Linked DNA regions of Drosophila melanogaster. Changing the gene in region 4 together with the main gene of any one other region gives a genetic interaction. Each region holds a gene or a part of one and is shown on either strand. Other genes may lie near its edges. The genes, in order: E(spl)mbeta-HLH, l(1)sc, RpS17 and emc.

Evidence for each region.
Region 1: of emc (region 4) and E(spl)mbeta-HLH, changing one enhances a phenotype caused by changing the other (phenotypic enhancement), as found in Drosophila melanogaster (one study listed by BioGRID).
Region 2: of emc (region 4) and l(1)sc, changing one enhances a phenotype caused by changing the other (phenotypic enhancement), as found in Drosophila melanogaster (one study listed by BioGRID).
Region 3: of emc (region 4) and RpS17, changing one suppresses a phenotype caused by changing the other (phenotypic suppression), as found in Drosophila melanogaster (one study listed by BioGRID).

Annotation. Positions count from the first base shown.
Region 1 is NT_033777.3:26,004,528-26,008,000, forward strand, and holds E(spl)mbeta-HLH (enhancer of split mbeta, helix-loop-helix), read right to left. Parts: upstream 1,497-3,473; 5' UTR 1,367-1,496; coding exon 779-1,366; 3' UTR 519-778; downstream 1-518.
Region 2 is NC_004354.4:407,695-411,332, reverse strand, and holds l(1)sc (lethal of scute), read right to left. Parts: upstream 1,613-3,638; 5' UTR 1,538-1,612; coding exon 764-1,537; 3' UTR 516-763; downstream 1-515. UniProt on the Drosophila melanogaster protein: AS-C proteins are involved in the determination of the neuronal precursors in the peripheral nervous system and the central nervous system.
Region 3 is NT_037436.4:9,428,285-9,431,483, reverse strand, and holds RpS17 (ribosomal protein S17), read left to right. Parts: upstream 1-1,662; 5' UTR 1,663-1,692; intron 1,693-1,756; 5' UTR 1,757-1,786; coding exon 1,787-1,789; intron 1,790-2,158; coding exon 2,159-2,310; intron 2,311-2,369; coding exon 2,370-2,610; 3' UTR 2,611-2,689; downstream 2,690-3,199. Other genes in the region: MTF-1 (metal response element-binding transcription Factor-1), read right to left, coding at 151-962; Shc (SHC-adaptor protein), read right to left, coding at 3,050-3,199.
Region 4 is NT_037436.4:747,832-754,012, forward strand, and holds emc (extra macrochaetae), read left to right. Parts: upstream 1-1,568; 5' UTR 1,569-1,832; coding exon 1,833-2,396; intron 2,397-4,440; coding exon 4,441-4,476; 3' UTR 4,477-5,661; downstream 5,662-6,181. UniProt on the Drosophila melanogaster protein: Participates in sensory organ patterning by antagonizing the neurogenic activity of the Achaete-scute complex (AS-C). It lacks a basic DNA-binding domain but is able to form heterodimers with other HLH proteins, thereby inhibiting DNA binding.

The DNA.
Region 1 (3,473 bases), on a different chromosome or scaffold from region 4:
GCAGTTAAAGCTGTCAAAGCCTGAACAAAAAAAAACTAAAAAAGAGCAAAATCTTAAAAAAAAAGCGAAACACAATGACCACAATGCTGAGCCATTGACAGCGGAGCCGCGGTTCTCACACTCGGCGGGCCTCATAATAAATGCCGTTTCCTAGAACTGACTTTTTGCTTTATTTTATTATTTAATTGCGACAGCGCCGGCGCAAAACTTCCCGCAGATATACGTATGTATGTTGTATGCCCCCTGAAAGCCCCGCATACCCTCGCAATCCGAATTCTCGGGGCATAATGAGGCCAAGCCGGAGAGACCAGACGATAGTCCGAGTGTGGGAAAATATTCAGCGACTTCCGGCTGTGGGCTCTGCGATTCGGTTCACCACGGAGTTTATCTCCAATTCGTTTCTTGTTTTAAGGGGTTTCTTTTTTTTAGTTGCTTTAGTTTGCGGTTGGACGCCCACTAAATGTCTGGGAAGTCTGAGTAATCAGCTCTATGGGAAATAAGTAAATGCAGAGATTCTTGAGTTGGAATTTCATTTATTTTCATTTCTTTATGACTTTAAGAAGTGAGCAGCAGCCATCTCTATAGCCGAAATTTGAGGCTCTGCTAGAGATGATCGGTGGCTCTGCTGGGCTGCTGGGAAAGCTATTCCTGGGCAGCAATTGATGATCTCCAAGGAGTTCGGTGCGGTTTCAAGTCCAGCACCTCTTTGGGGCAACAAATTTGTAGAAGCCTTCCGCTTGAAGGCGATTCAGGTGAATATCATCCGGAGTCCAGTTGATCACCAGGGACGCCACATGGGGCCAGAGGTGGAGCTGGCCTCGCTGGGCGCCGGGCTGCAGGCTCCGCTCTCCAAGCTGTCGCATTCCGAGGGAGGTGGAGTGACCATAGCTTGATCCTCTACTGGAGCTTGAAGAGGCACTCCAATGGGCAGCGAGGGAACCACCACTTGCAGGTAGTTGAGACGATGGCCAAGGTGACTCATCAGCTGGGTGCCGAGATCCACACTCACTCCGGGTACAGCGGCCAAGGTTTTGGACACTTCATTGGCAGCATGAACGTAGCCAGCACGGAAACTCTCAGCGATGCTAAGCTTGGGATCGGCACTCGGAGACACTCCACCGGTGACGCTGGACAGACGCAGCTGCTTCTGGGCACGCAGCTTCTTCATGTGCTCCACGGTCAGCTCCAGGATGTCGGCCTTCTCCAGCCGGGTGATGTGCTCGCCCTCCTGGGTCAGGCACTCCACCATGATGTCCTTGAGCTCGTCCAGGCACTTGTTAATCCTGGCACGGCGCTTACGCTCCAGCATGGGCTTCATCACCTTGCGGTACTGATAGGTCTTGGACATCTCCATTTCCAGAACCATTTTGTTGTAGTTTGGTTTTGTTTTTTTTTTATTGGGGGTAAAGTAAACTCGCGTAATCCACAGTCGCAACGTTCCACTAGATTCGGACTCGGAGACTCTGTGTGCACGCAACGAAGTCGGAGCTTTGAATGAGTCGGCTGGCTCTGGGATCGGCTTTATATAGCCTCTGCCGCCCTGGGAACTGGACAGTGAGTGCGAGCGGGACACTCATTTTGCCTCGTGCGCGGCCTGCTGCTGTTGCCAGCGGTGGTTTCAGATGGCTTGGTGGTGCTTGGTTGTGGTAGTGGTGGTGGTGGCTTCTGTTTTTTTGTATACTTTTGCCTGTATATGTGAGGGCAATAAAATGACTTGAGCGGGCTGCGCCTTCTCGCTCTCTCTCCCTCCCTCCTTATGTATGTGCTGTGATTGTTATACCGTGGGAAACTGTTTCGCAGCCGATTTCCACGACGACGACGATGACGACGGCTGGCCTGACTTCTTCTGATTGTGCATGCTTGGGGTCTTGTACGATCCCTCGTCCCTCGTCTTTCCGTCCACCGTCTTTCTTGAGCGGACGGACGGATGGACGGGCCGCCTTTAAGAGGTCTGTGCGACTTGGGATCCCAGATACGATGCGAGGCGAGCACATGCCTTCCATCCATAACAAGATGTTTGCATTTCAATTCATTTGTATGGTCGACTATGGTCGGGGTCCGGTCTTTTGGGCTTCAATTCGGTGCGGTTGGGTTCGGTTCGGTTCGGTCTCAAGTCTTGCCATGTGCCTTCACCCTTTTGCAGTAGCTTATGGCACGCTGATAATTGTGGAATCGTCATCGGGCCAACCCGAGACGGGCCAGTGTTTCTGTTTCTTGCTTTTTTGTTAGCGCTTTATGGATCATTGATTGGATCGTGGTAGTCGTGGGTTTCGTGGGACGAGCATTACGCTTTTCGTTTACATGATTATTCTTGATTGTCGGTTGGGGATCGTTTGGGGATCAGCTGCAGTTCGGTTGGGGGTTTTGGGTTCGCTTGGGGATCTTGGGTCGTCGCTCGCTTCTATTTGTAGACAATTACCATAGCGACTTCGGGCTGGGAACCGATCGAAGTCGACGTGTGCGCGAAAGTCGGTTACAATCGTAATGGCTGTTGCCAGCACACGCTATAAATGTTATGGCTCGTGGGCTATACGCGATATATGTATATGTATGTATACACATTTAGCACATTCGGTATTTATTTTTAACGCTATATCGTCGTGATTCATCAGCTTGAGATGCTAGATCTCCATCCGCCGGCATCTGACACATCTCGGATCCTAAGCTCGGGTTTCTCAACATTTAATTAGAAGTGCCGGCGACGATGACGCTCGCTGGCGTTCATTGAAAATGACACGAGCCCGGCTCATTGGCACACAAATAAGGAATAACAAAAGCTCCGAGACGGCAGCTACTCGATCACTATGTGTATATAAATTCAAACTCAAATAAGACAAATTAAGATTGCCCCTCGACGCATTCGAAATGAGCTACAGTTAGCCGAAACAAAGCAGCAACGGTGATAAACGGGCCAAGACACAAACGGCTAACAACTTATCTAACCGAAACGTTTTGTCCGCTGGACCGGGACACTTAAACTGTTGATGTCAAAAAGCTGAATGCTCCGGAAATGCTTAATTGGATTTTATGGGTCGGCAGTGTGTCAAACTGTTCGTCAGAGGGTGGTGGTTGCATTTTTGGGGTGAGTTAGTCGCATGATATTTGCAACAACCAATTAAGAAGTAATTCATATTGGATTATTAAAGAAACAATACTATAAAAAATATGGAAAAAATATTTCAAAAATTTAAAGATTTTTAAAAACAATTTAGCTACAATTGTAGATAACACGTTAAATTAAGAAATATTTTGTAATAACAATATAATCCATTTATATAATCCATTCATTCAACTAGCTTAAATTAAAAGCTAAATAGTATAGGGGCTCCAATTGTAATTCGGAAGTTCCAATTTTCATGTAGTAGCTATAAATGCCTTTAAACGCCACTGAAAGACTTTTCTAGCTTAACAACTGAATCACTGTCGTAACTCGAATCATTAATACCAATTGTAGCAATTAGAGGAAACCCAGT
Region 2 (3,638 bases), on a different chromosome or scaffold from region 4:
TTCAAGTACTGATCCTTGGACTAGGACAATTTCATCCTCTCAGGCGTGACTGCCTATTTCCGGGCTATTTACGCGCCATTAACAATTCCCGGCCGAATTGTAGCTCGTTAGGGAACCAATCATGAAAATATTCGCTGTTGTTTCCTGTCAGGTGCTTAACTCTATGTTGGTTACGAATTTTGAGTGAGTCATGTCCACGCTCCAAAAGTAATTGAATATAAATAATAAATTGGGTAACTTTTTTGTGAAATTATTATTTCTATCGCTAGTACCATTATTAAGCCTGAGGCCAAAACAGCTAAGCTAAAAAATAATAATAATAATATAAAAATACATAAATTAAAAACGAATATCATAACATATATATAGTCAAAGCAATGCTTCAAAATGCAGATTGTTTAAAAACCTTTTTGGCTCTGATGCTGGTATGAGAACGAGAACTCGTTGTAATTACCCTACATGACGATCTGAATATATTTACGAGTAAGTGATTTCAGTAAAAAACATTTGGAATTAAATTTATCAATATGTTTTTATTTTGGCTTAAAAGTAGTTAGTTTAGTGTCTTCCATGCTTATAACAAACTTATAACTATGAAAAAAATATGTCTTCCATTGCGTTAAAATATAATAAAAAAAAATATGGGGTAACTTAGAGGCTAATGTGAAATTTGAGACTTGGTTTTACACTCACTAAGGCAACAATTTAGGGTATTTACAGTTTGTACAATATTTGTTTGTTTGGGACTTTTAGTAAGACCCCTTCACTGCTCTTGCCAAGATGAAATATAATCGAGTAGCTCCTCGTCATCTGGCTGCTCGTCACTGAAGCTATCAAAGGAGTCGAATTTGAGGTCCTGCTCTTGTAGTTCCTGTTTGATATAGCCACCTCCGGAAATCTCGGATCCGGAGTACGACGGCGTGGGCGAGGCGGAGTGGTACGAGTGGGATTGGGCAGACTGGGTGGCTCCCGTCAAGAACTGTTGCGAACTGTCCAAACTATCGTTGTAATCGTTATAGCTGCTGCCATCGTTGCTACTTTCATCGGCGGAATTGTAGATGTGACGAGTTGATGAAGCAGTGCCATCATCAAGCATGTCCTGTAGTCCTCGAATATATTCAACGGCGATTCGCAGTGTGTCCACCTTGGATAACTTCTTGCTGCTACCACGTCCTCCATTGGACAGCGAGTTTACCACAGTTTGAGGCAAATGCTGGCGGAGATTGACGAATCCATTGTTCACCTGCTTCACGCGATTGCGTTCACGGGCATTTCGTCTGGCTACCGATGGCAATTGCTCGCCATAGGGCATGTTATTGTAGTTGAACTTCTTCTTCTGGGAGGACAACATGGGTCCAACATTGGACTGTTGACTCTGCTGCATATTCTGCAGTTGGCTGGTACCCAAAGGTATTTTCGGAGCAATCAACTGGTGCTGCTGCGTTTGATGGTGATGCTGATGTTGCAGCAAGAAAATGTTACTGTTGGTCAGCTGGTAATGCTGCTGCTGGAATTTGCTGCTGCAAATGCTCGTCATGGTAATCCTTGCGAGAGTTTTCTAAGATTTAGTTTACAGATGTTGACTGTGTGGAATCAGATTCCGCAATGATAATTGCTGTTCTGATCTAGGGCTTTAAATACCCGGCAGTGGCAGAGGGAAACGCGCCGCGACAGAGGCAGCGACTTCGGCAGAGGAGCTACAGGGGTTGGTACGGGGTCGGATCCTGGCTACCTGCCCTCGAAAAACCGGGACCTAAGTCCTTTGCACAAGTGATCGTACATTTTTCCTCTCTTTCTAGGGGTTCTTTTTCTGTGGTGGGTGCCTCTATTCCTACTCAGTCTCTGTGTGCCTACCTACCCATCCTTTTCCCTCTCCCACACACTCTTTGTCCTTTGTGTCCGTCTACATAATGCATTTTTTCCTTTTGGGAAAATTTTAAATCTCAGATCTGCAAGATCCTTGTCATGGCTAAAAAAAAAGATTTTGAATGCACTTCCACTTTTGTCGAATGTCGTTTGCATTGAAAGCGAAAAATAAAGGAGAGTGAGATCTTGGAAGGGAATTTGATATAAAATGTGATCCATCAAATGAAAGAAAATGATGCGAAGGCAAAAGAAACAAACTTAAAAGACCATGTCGTGGGACTTTCACTGTCTTTAAAACTGCGTATCCACTTTTATATCCTGTAATGTTATGAACCTTCATTAATATTTTTTCTGACCCATCTGCATTTGACACGTGCTTCCGATCAGTCCGGTGCATTAGCATAAGCTTCAAAACAATGATACATAACATCGCAGAGCGGCGCAGACAAAATCCCACAAGTGTGTGCTGTATCATGAATACCAAGCGTACTATAATAAGTAAGGGGACGGCCAGACAAATAAAAACGAAACCATCACAAAGGCATTGAATATTGACAGCAGTTGGGATCAAAGTTGCAGTCGAAACACTCTTACCCTTTCATCAAACGCTTGTGATACAAGAAAGCGATCTAAATTTGGGCTGTGCACTCGACAAAAAATGTAATATTTCTGACTGGTTAATATATGTCTTGTATGAACAAACAAAAACTGAATTCAATTAATTTGCATAACTCATTAAATCGTATTAAGGCTACGATGCAATTTAAAATATTTTTTTGGGAAAATATTTTGATAGTGTTGCATTATTGAATAAATATTTTCTTTTAAAGATAATTATTTCGTGGAATACTTCTAAAAATCGAATGGCAGTTTTGATTTTAAAGCATGAAGCATTTGTGTTGCTTTAATATCAAGACATCACTCATAATCAGGTTTAGTTCTAAATTATCAAATTAGTATGTCGAAAAGCATTAAAAAAGGTCTTTAAATGTTATTTGACTAGCAAATTAGTATTTCAAAAAGCTTTAAAAAATGTTATGTCTTTATTTATTTGCTGCTTGCTGTAGGGTTGTGACTTATTATGCCCAGTCCAAGAAAGTAAAGTTATTCCGTTTACCAACAATCCCCCTGCAATTAAATTAAGCATTCATAAATCTGTAAGGAGCTGAATCTGAAACAAATTTCTGGATTCGCAACTTGCAACTTTGTTGCAATGGGAAGGCAATACCGTTACCGAAGACGGATAAGTCGAGTTACGAGATTGCTCCCATAAATGCATAAAATCTTAAAAAAAGCCATAAGCAGCTGCCCTAAAGGAGATCAGAAAATTAGAGGAAATTGATCCCACAAGAATGAACGCTGAAAATCATAATAAAGCAAAAAAAAAAAAAAAAAAAAAACACCATTTACCTAATAATTGGTTTTTAAAAGTTGCTACCGAATTCGTTTTCTAATGCATTTATAATATCTAGAATAAAAATCTTTGCGTCATCACCTTTGTATTTCTCTTGGTTCGAAGCAAACCCTTTTCAAATACTCTTTTAATATGCTCCAAACACACCCACCAAAAAATAGGAAAGTAAAAAAGGTTTTGGTTTCAATTTCATAAGCCTCGGACACCATGCCCTATAATGTTCAGTGATTAATTAATCCGCATGAGATCAGAATAGTGTTGATCCCAGTTTCGTTTTTGGGGGACGCAGTAAATATAAAATAGTGAACAACTGGCCAGGGTTGTCAGGTTCATGGTTTCCCAGGTTTCCAATCAGCTA
Region 3 (3,199 bases), 8.7 Mb from region 4:
CATTTTTCTACACGAATAATATTGCAATTCCAGAACGGGTTGTTGTTATCATATCTATAAAACACCACGCCTAAGCAAAAAAACATTCCAAATACAAGCAAATCATAAAATACACATGCAGCGGTGGGTGTACGTGCAAGTGGGGAATACCTCGTCTCAATTGTGAAATAAGCTGGAGAATTGGATGTGGAGTCCCTAGAGATGCTGTTTCCAGTTCCCTGGTCGTTATCACAGTTGATTGGAGGATTTGCAGCCTCGTTGGGGCTGGACACCATGCTGAGCGAGACCACAGTGGGCGGCTGGACTTGGACGAGCCTCTGGTTCTCGAACTGGTATTCCAGCGTGAAGCAGATGTCATCCAGATTGAACACCTGGGCGGTGATATCGCTCAGACTGGCTATCAGCGGAACTTCAGAGTGGCTGGAGCTGAGATTCTCGGTGGTATGGTGATATGTGATGGGTATGACCGTGATGGGCAATGGTGTTAGTTGATCCGCAAGCGAAAAAGCGTTGTCCGCTGCCGCAGATACAACAACTTGTGAATGGCCATGAGTTTGAGATGCAGTGAGTTGATCCTGGGCACCGAATAGGTCGCCATATGTCGCCTGGGCGTCCCCCGTATCAAGGGTGAGGCCCAGATTAAGCACCTGTTGCTCGCCACTTGTGGATTCCGCCGTCTGGCTGCCGTAGATGCTGTAGTTGTCCCCATGGATGATGCCCAGCCCGTCGGCCTCCAATTTCGGTTCGAGCAACTGAGCTAGTGGCCTGTCGAAGTCCAGGGAACCAGAGGAGGAGCAATTGGATGTGACGGGCGGGGAGCCGGAAAGCGAATTGCGCGACGAGTTGGTATCATAATCCCGGCTGTCTGATAACGAATTTCCATGACTATTAGCGGTAGTCTTCCACTCGCTGTGGAAGTAGTGTTGTTGTTGTTGCTGGTGTTGTTTCTCTTGGTCGTTCATGTCGTATTATTTGTTATTTGCACACCCACGCACACTAAGACAAACGCTTGCTATATCGCATATGATATGCAGTTGTTATTCTCTTTCTCTGCTGCCACCGTGCAATATGTACATATATATAGATTGCTAAAGAAATTAGAGATCGCGAGATCGAAAAGCACACATCCGCGATCGAAAAGCACAAGCAACAACGATAAGAACCAGTGTGACCATGGGCGGAACGACAAAATATAACGCGGTTCTGGCTGAAATATACCATAAACTGGGATATACCGAAAATAGTGGAACGCAAAAGGGGACACCGCTTAGTGGGGACTCAAACCGCGTGTAGAGTTTTAGGCGGAGTCTCCAAGCGTGGTGTGAAATTGAAACTAAGGTGTTCTAATTTAAAGAATGAATAAATTTGCGAAACCAATATACTGCCGAATAGACTTATTTTTAAAGATTTTATATATTTTCTTATAAAAAAGAGTTTGTTTCATAACAAGTATTCTAGCCCATATTTAGGTACCATTGCACTGTACAATAGTCTCATTTAAAATGTTTAGTACAATAATGCGGTTTTTGTTAAATAATGTGTTCTAAGGTTCAAGTCCTCTCTTATTTCTATTTAATTCATCTACCTTCGAGATTTGCATAATTATGGTATATTTGCGGTATATTTTAGTATGTTTTTCACACAACCACCCTGGTCACACGGCATCCTTCTTTTTCTTTCGTTTCCGGCGAGGTATGTGCACAAATTTTGTTTCTCCACGTTTTTCTTAAAAATAATTGCTTATTTCTCATTTTAGCGGTGATTAAAATATCCATCGAGCAACATAATGGTACGTACCAACGAAAAACTGGCTGAACTCGAATCAAAAAGCGGTCAAACAAGCATAAAACGGCAACGACAGCCGCTTATCCCACGTGCATAGTGCCAATTTTGTTACCCCAAAAGCAATTATTTGTATCCGGCGTCTTGAAACCGTCCTTAATATCAATACCAAATAGCAATTCAAACGGAAACTTTAAAAGAAACCTAAACTAAAACCGAGTGAAGGCCTCTTACATTAAAAGTCCCCGAAAAATGCCGCAACTATCTCAGAAAATCAGCTGCAAATAACTATTTAGTTGTGACAGAAAACTATCGCAAAGATACAACAAAATGGATTGAACTATCGTGATACTAAACATTTTATCAACTACCACAGGGTCGCGTACGAACCAAGACGGTGAAGAAGGCCGCTAAGGTCATCATCGAGAAGTACTACACTCGCCTGACGTTGGACTTCCACACCAACAAGCGCATCTGCGAGGAGGTGGCCATCATTCCCACCAAGCCCCTGCGCAACAAGATTGCCGGGTAAGTGCCGCTCAAATCTCGTTAGTGAGTGGATCTATAATCCCCAAATTCCTTTCCAGCTATGTCACCCATTTGATGGGCCGCCTGCGTCACTCCCAGGTGCGTGGTATCTCCATCAAGTTGCAGGAGGAGGAGCGTGAGCGTCGTGACAACTACGTCCCGGCCGTCTCCGCTCTGGAGCAGGACATCATCGAGGTCGACGCCGACACCAAGGAGATGTTGAAGCTTCTGGACTTCCACAACATCCGTGGCCTGCAGCTCACCCAGCCCAACACCAACAACTTTGGTCGTCGCAACTAAGATTTGTATAGCGCGTAGATGATGATGTTCTGATTTGCATGGGATCACAATAAATTTGTGTGAAGTGCATTTAAAGTGTATGTTTTTGTGTTTCAATTAATTATGCGTATTCGATTGAAAAATATCCAAAGTGAACATCGTTTCCAAAGTGGCTCACCAGGCAGGAAACTCGATCTAAATTCAAGAACCCCAAGTCTGTGTTCCGTTTATCATCTTTATTCGCATTCGAATGGAAAATACTGTAGACATGCACATATTTGTAAATATGTTTATATTCAATCCATAAATATATGGGTTCGTTTTTACACAGACGATATATAAAAGATATTCTACGAGTGCACAATATTTAAATCTAATCGTGTACGCTGATGCCAGTATATATAATTATTTGTTATGTATATGATGGGTGGTAGCTATACGTATGATTGTTCCCTCCGGTTCAGGAAGATGCTGATGTAATGGGCGACGCAGCCTGATCCTGCTGGGGTCTTCGCACCGGATTACGCAAGACCAGCTCGGAATCCTCCGAAATGATGGGCAGCGCGTGTGCCCAGTGGTAGTTGATCAGATGGCTAATGCTGTCGAAGAT
Region 4 (6,181 bases):
TTTTTCACAAACAACGACGCGCCCGCTCATTTTCAATGAAAATTTCCACAATTTCCTCAATGGATCGTCGTCGACCCATCATGTGTGTGAAATACAATCGTGGATTTCTTGCCCAGAAACCCTGCAACTTCTTCGGTGCAATGGAGTGGGAGAGAAGTCGAGGCGCCTCGAACTCTTATGTGTGTTCAAGATGTCGTGGACTCAAATTAAGATAAGATGCAGATAAGCCGTGCATTTCGATTTAGCCGTTTGAAAACTCGTTAATAAGAATTTGGTCAATCCACTGATAACGACTAGTTTTCCATTGAACGGAGGCGCATAACGCTTATCTTTGTTAGGAATAAATATGACAAATTGAACGACTACCGTTTAATCGTTTGTCTATATACGAAAACTTAACAGGATTGTTCGAGCTATCAGTTTATTTGAATAGTTATTGTTAATGAAAACTACTACTAACTAGCCCAATATAATATATTATGAATATTTACTCTTCTTATTTTCAAATGATTTAAAATTTTCACCATTCCACAGCGATTAAAATCTAATTTACCCATGCATATATTTAATATTCATTCTGTAATTAATCAAGCCCTTGTTGAACCACTCGCATTGTCTTTTTCGCCTTTTCGTGTTGATTGTGGAACCTCCTTATCCCACAAAACACTTTTCATTCATTTTCATGCTCATTCACAAAACATGAGAAAAAAAAAAGAAAAACAAACATTGCAGTCGTGAGAGGAAAATTATTGAGCGAGAGTTACTGTTCGTGTTTTCTCATTTTCAGCTGAGAAAAGCAGCCGACCAATCACAAAACCATTTCCCCTTTACAAAAAACCGATCATTTTGCATCTCGTGGAGAGTATTCAGATTTGTTTGGAGAGTTTCGGAGAGGAACTCGTTAAGCCGGGTCTACAAAGGTGAGTATCTGTGGACCGTGGTGGAGTCAGGGGAAATGTTAGTGCTTTAAAAAGTGTCTACTATGTGTGGAATTTGGATTGTATCTTGTGGATTGGATATTGTGGTAAGGTTGAGTTTCATTTGGTATCTCGGGTAGAAGTCAATGAGGTGGATGTTCGGGCACACAGGCTGTAGAACTTGTTGGATATTTTGTCAAGAACTGAAAGTATCCGAAAGGATTAATTCATAGCATATATACCTCAGTTGTATTTTGAATTATTTTAAATTAGTTTTCTCAGAATTCATGGGCTTCACACTACACATCTTCCCCTCTTAAGATCTCAGGCTTAAATTCGTACTCCATTCTCATTGTGGATTTGAAATGATGACTGTGAAGACCAAACACGAAGGGCTACCCCTTAATTCCACATTCTTGTCCACCAAAGCAGACCTCTCCGCAACTCACCTCTTAGGAACTCTCCTAAATTCCGGTTTCAAGTTGTGGTCCAAGTTCCACATGGACACCAATGAGACACATTCCCCAGTCTCCACTCTCCAACCAAGTACATATCTCTCTCCAGCCGAACGAACCCGAGAGCGAAGACTCCGCCTATCGGATTCGGAAATGCCCGTTCGGGGGGTATAAAAGCGGGCGCTCTGAGCGAGCACCACTCATTCGTTGTCTGACCGCTCGCAGCAAAAGATATAGAAATCGAGAACGTAAACGCAGAAAACACGCTGGATTAAAGTGTTTCGTTTCGAACATCGACAGAGTGAGAAAACAAAGTGAAGTGAGCGCACAAAGCCGAAATCAAATCAAATTGAAAAGCCAGTCAAGAGCAATCTTTAACTGAACCTCGCAAGTAATCCGGTACGACCGTGTAACAACCGCCAAGATTCTACTCAAGGAGCGTAAAGCAATCATCTCCAGAATGAAGTCCCTGACGGCCGTCTGCCAGACAGGTGCCTCCGGAATGCCGGCCTTGAATGCCAGCGGGCGCATCCAGCGCCATCCCACGCACCGCGGCGACGGGGAGAACGCCGAGATGAAGATGTATCTGTCCAAACTGAAGGACCTCGTTCCGTTCATGCCCAAGAACAGGAAGCTCACCAAGCTGGAGATCATCCAGCACGTCATCGACTACATCTGCGACCTGCAGACCGAGCTGGAGACGCACCCCGAGATGGGCAACTTCGATGCGGCAGCCGCTCTGACGGCGGTGAACGGACTCCACGAGGACGAGGACAGCGACATGGAGGATGCGGATGCCGAGGCAGAAGCGGAAGTCGATCCAGATATCCTCGCCCAGCGCCTGAATGCCGAGCAGCCGGCGAAAGTCTCTAGTCCCGCCGCCCGTCTCCCGCTTACCGATCGCCAAACGCCCAACACTCTTGTGGCGCCCGCCCATCCGCAGCAGCATCAGCAGCAGCAGCAACTGCAACTGCAGCAGCAACAACTGCAATCACAGCAGCAACTGTCCAACAGTTTAGCAACGGTGAGTTAACAAACAAATTGCTAGGGTAGTGAAAAACCCAAATAGGAAGTGGGCAGATGAGCACAGCTCAGGTCGAAATATTAGGAGAAATAATAAGGTTATGGAATATTTAAAGTAGTTATTTTTGAGAAAATAACATAGTTAAACATTTAAAGTACATGACTTCACTGGTTTCAACTAGACAATAAAGCGATTAATTGCTAAAGTTACGATAAGGAAGTGCGAATATCGCAAAGTTTGCGATCCACCGATTTTCGCTATTTCCTTGAGTGCCATTATTTTGACCGCAGCTGTTTGGCATTTGCATTGCAAATTTAGGAGACAATTGAGTGTCAAACTGTTTGGCTTTACTTGTTTTTGTTTCGCGAGTGACCTCATTCATAAGGCGATTGACGAATGTTTGCGTGAATGTTGTTTTTTTTCATTTTGTTTTATTTTTTTTTAACGGAAGGACGAGGCGCGTTTCGTTTCGTTGGCGAGTTTTGGGAAATTTCTTTATTGGGCGGGTGGCTTTAGACAACGCGGCCTGCCCGATTTTGTCGTACCCTCTTCTTCGCCGCACAGATTCATTTCGTTTTTATAGACATTTCACAGACCGTCTCTGTGCGATTGTATGCGTTGCGGTTGTTGTCGCCATCGTTTCTTTCTTTTGTGTGTTGCCTATACGTAGCTGTTAATTTTTTCTCGCGGCCTTTTTCTGTTGTTGTGATGTTTTAAATGAACACCTGCAGATACTTAAATTTATTTCACACACACTCGCACACACACATACTCACTCACTCACACGCACTTGCGAGCTTGAAAACGGAATTTGGAATTGGGGAATCATCAGTCTTCGTATTTTATTTCATTTGGGTTTATTTTTTGGCTCACTTCATTAGCTCTCAGCTTCGTTACTTCTTCGTTTTTGGACTTTCGGTTATTAATGATGCTGGCGAAAAAATTCGTTTGAGATCTACAATATGTTCGTAAAAACAGGTTCGAAAAAGCTTTTTTTTCAATGGGTTTCTCAAACAAATGATCGACTGGGTGGCCCGGCAAGTGTTATTAATTTTCGATCTCTGATTGTTGATTAATTGTGAAGGTGGAAACCCTTCTTCGAAATTCAGAAAGATGGTTTTGAAATCGTGCCTTCGTCATTCCTGGCTATGAGTTACTTCTTAAATTTTTGATTAATTAACTGTGGGTCTTTAGCTCAGTCCGCTTTGCGTAGGTCTCTTTTCTCTCATTTTGGGTGCGTAATTTTTGTGTTTTTGTTGCAAAACATCTGCAACCCACAAACATATATACTTTTTGTGTTTGTATGATGTGTCACCGCCGCAACAACAACAACAAGCCAACAACAATCCGAGAATTCTTTCGAAAACACGCACACACACACACACAGAAGAACACATGGGGGCACTCAGAAAACTGTAAAAAGAAATGCACGTGTTCAAAATGTTCTCTCTGTGGGTTGTTTTCAGTTGTTTTTGCTGTTTCTTTTTCGATTTTTTTTTCGCGCAGCTGTGCGCCAGTCGCCAGTCGGTCGCTTTCTACATTGTGTTCCCCCCACGGATCCTGCCCCCCCCCCTCCACAACCGCCCCCTCGCAGTAAGAGAGCAGAAGACGGAGGAGAAGAGAGCGCAAGACACTGGGGGAAAAACTGCGTGATTTCAACGTTTTGCTGATTTTCAACTGGGTATACTTGTGCAAGCAAGCTACCTGAGATGTTATTTTAAAACATGTTGTATCTTCTAATGCACATGTTCTTAGTGCAAAACATTTTTCCCAGTGCCAAAGAACTCAAATAAGTGCAAAACAAAAGCTCAATGACAGCGCGTTTGATTTTCTTGGCGCCTCTTTATTGCCCCATCCCCTCCACTCATCGAAATCAGCCTCTCGGCGAGTGTCCCAAACACAAACAAAACAAACAAATCAGTGGAACAGGGAACTAATTGATAACATAGAATGGCGAAATAATACAGCTTATAAACTAATTATTGCATTTCAATCGCACATTAATAATGTACTAATTTGAATCTTCCCGCTTCTCTCTTTTTAGCCACAGAATGCGGAGAAAGACAGCAGACAGTCGTAAGCGTGGAAACGCCCAGCCGGGAAAACCCACGGAACCTATAAGCCTATTAACTAAATGCATAATGAAAGTACAGTCAAAACTCCACTCGCAACCTTCGTGTGAAGATCTCCGCATAAGATAACGTGTGAAACTCTCAAGAAAACCACAGCCCAGGCGCATCTCTTCAACGCTCCTTTTCCCGGGAAACGGAAAACCCGGGAAAACGAGACCTCGCTTTTGGCTCCAACAGAGTTTAGTTTAAACATTTAATAACAAGAATACAACAACACAAAACCTAGCATTAGAGCAGCGTAAGCAAGTACACATTATGATTATTAATTAAACATTACAACTAGGATGATGGCGCTTAAGAATGAACGGAAGAAAGAAAACTTGGCAAAGCTTTAAACAATTTAATTTTCCTTTAACGCTTGAAATTACACTGAAGCATATATTTTTGTTTTCCTAATTTTAGTTTTGTTTTGGTTTAAACAACGCAAGAAAAAATGTTACTAATGCAAAGCAAACAGAGATCAGCAATAAAAAAAAATTATAAAAATGCACAGGCACCAAACTGGAATTACGTTGAATCACCGTTTCCTGCATTACGATTATATGATTTCAATCCAAATGATTTTCCTATTAATTTTAATCAATGAAGAGTTTTCCTATTATTGATTAGCCACAGCCAATAAACAACAAGAACAACCAACTCAGCAGCACACACACATTCAAATTCATTAATTTATATCGAGAGAGTACGTTTAGAGTTTAAGTTCGAGAAAGTTCATTTCCAGGCACTAATTTTCACTCACACCACTCACATAGAAAAACACAAACACCTCATTTTGTAGTTTTCCGAGTCCCTTGGATCGTTTTCCTCTTTTTTAATCGAAATAACGCATAATGCATAATAATTATTACCAGATATACACTAAAACCTATAAATATATATTAATATATGTTCTGTGATCTGTAGCATACTTTGTACAAAGTGTTTTTTTTAGCATAATTATGCGATTTTAATTATGATCCGCAATCGAAATTACACATTTTTGTTCTCATTTCGATGGTAAAAACACTCTATCATGATGTAAAAAAAAAAAACAAAAGAAAACATTTGATGATGTTGCGAAAAAATATATTATCTAAAACATAAAGAAAAACAAACACTAGCTCTTAATAAATTGCAAAAATTTAAAAAACATTAAAAATCGAATATGTCAATGGATTTCCGTTGGGAGCAGGGGATTAAGAAACTACCAGATCTTACCGCAAAAGTCGGTAACTACCTGCAGACAACGACAACAAGTAGCCGGGGGAGGAAAACTCAGCTGGATGGCCATTTTCACATGTAAACAAGTGCAACGAATTACCAGAACAATGAGGTGGATGATATTATTCTCGGAGTTTCATGGGCGAGCGAGTTTTCTCACGCAGCCGCCGCCTTTGTCATTAGGGGTTTGGTTTTCCCATTTTCCATTTCCCAGGTAAAACGGCCGTAGGGTCCGTTGAAAACTCGACCTGCACACGTGTGCGAATTGCGGACGGAAAATTTCCGTTGAGAAAATTTCCTTCACTGTGGCCTGGCCGCTTTTCCTTTTATTTCACGTACGAACCACTTGGGTGTGGATTTAGTTTTGGATTTTCTGCGCTACCCGCAGCTGCCTGCCCACCCACTTCCACTCACACTCACACTCCCACGGCCCACCGCCCACTGTCTCCC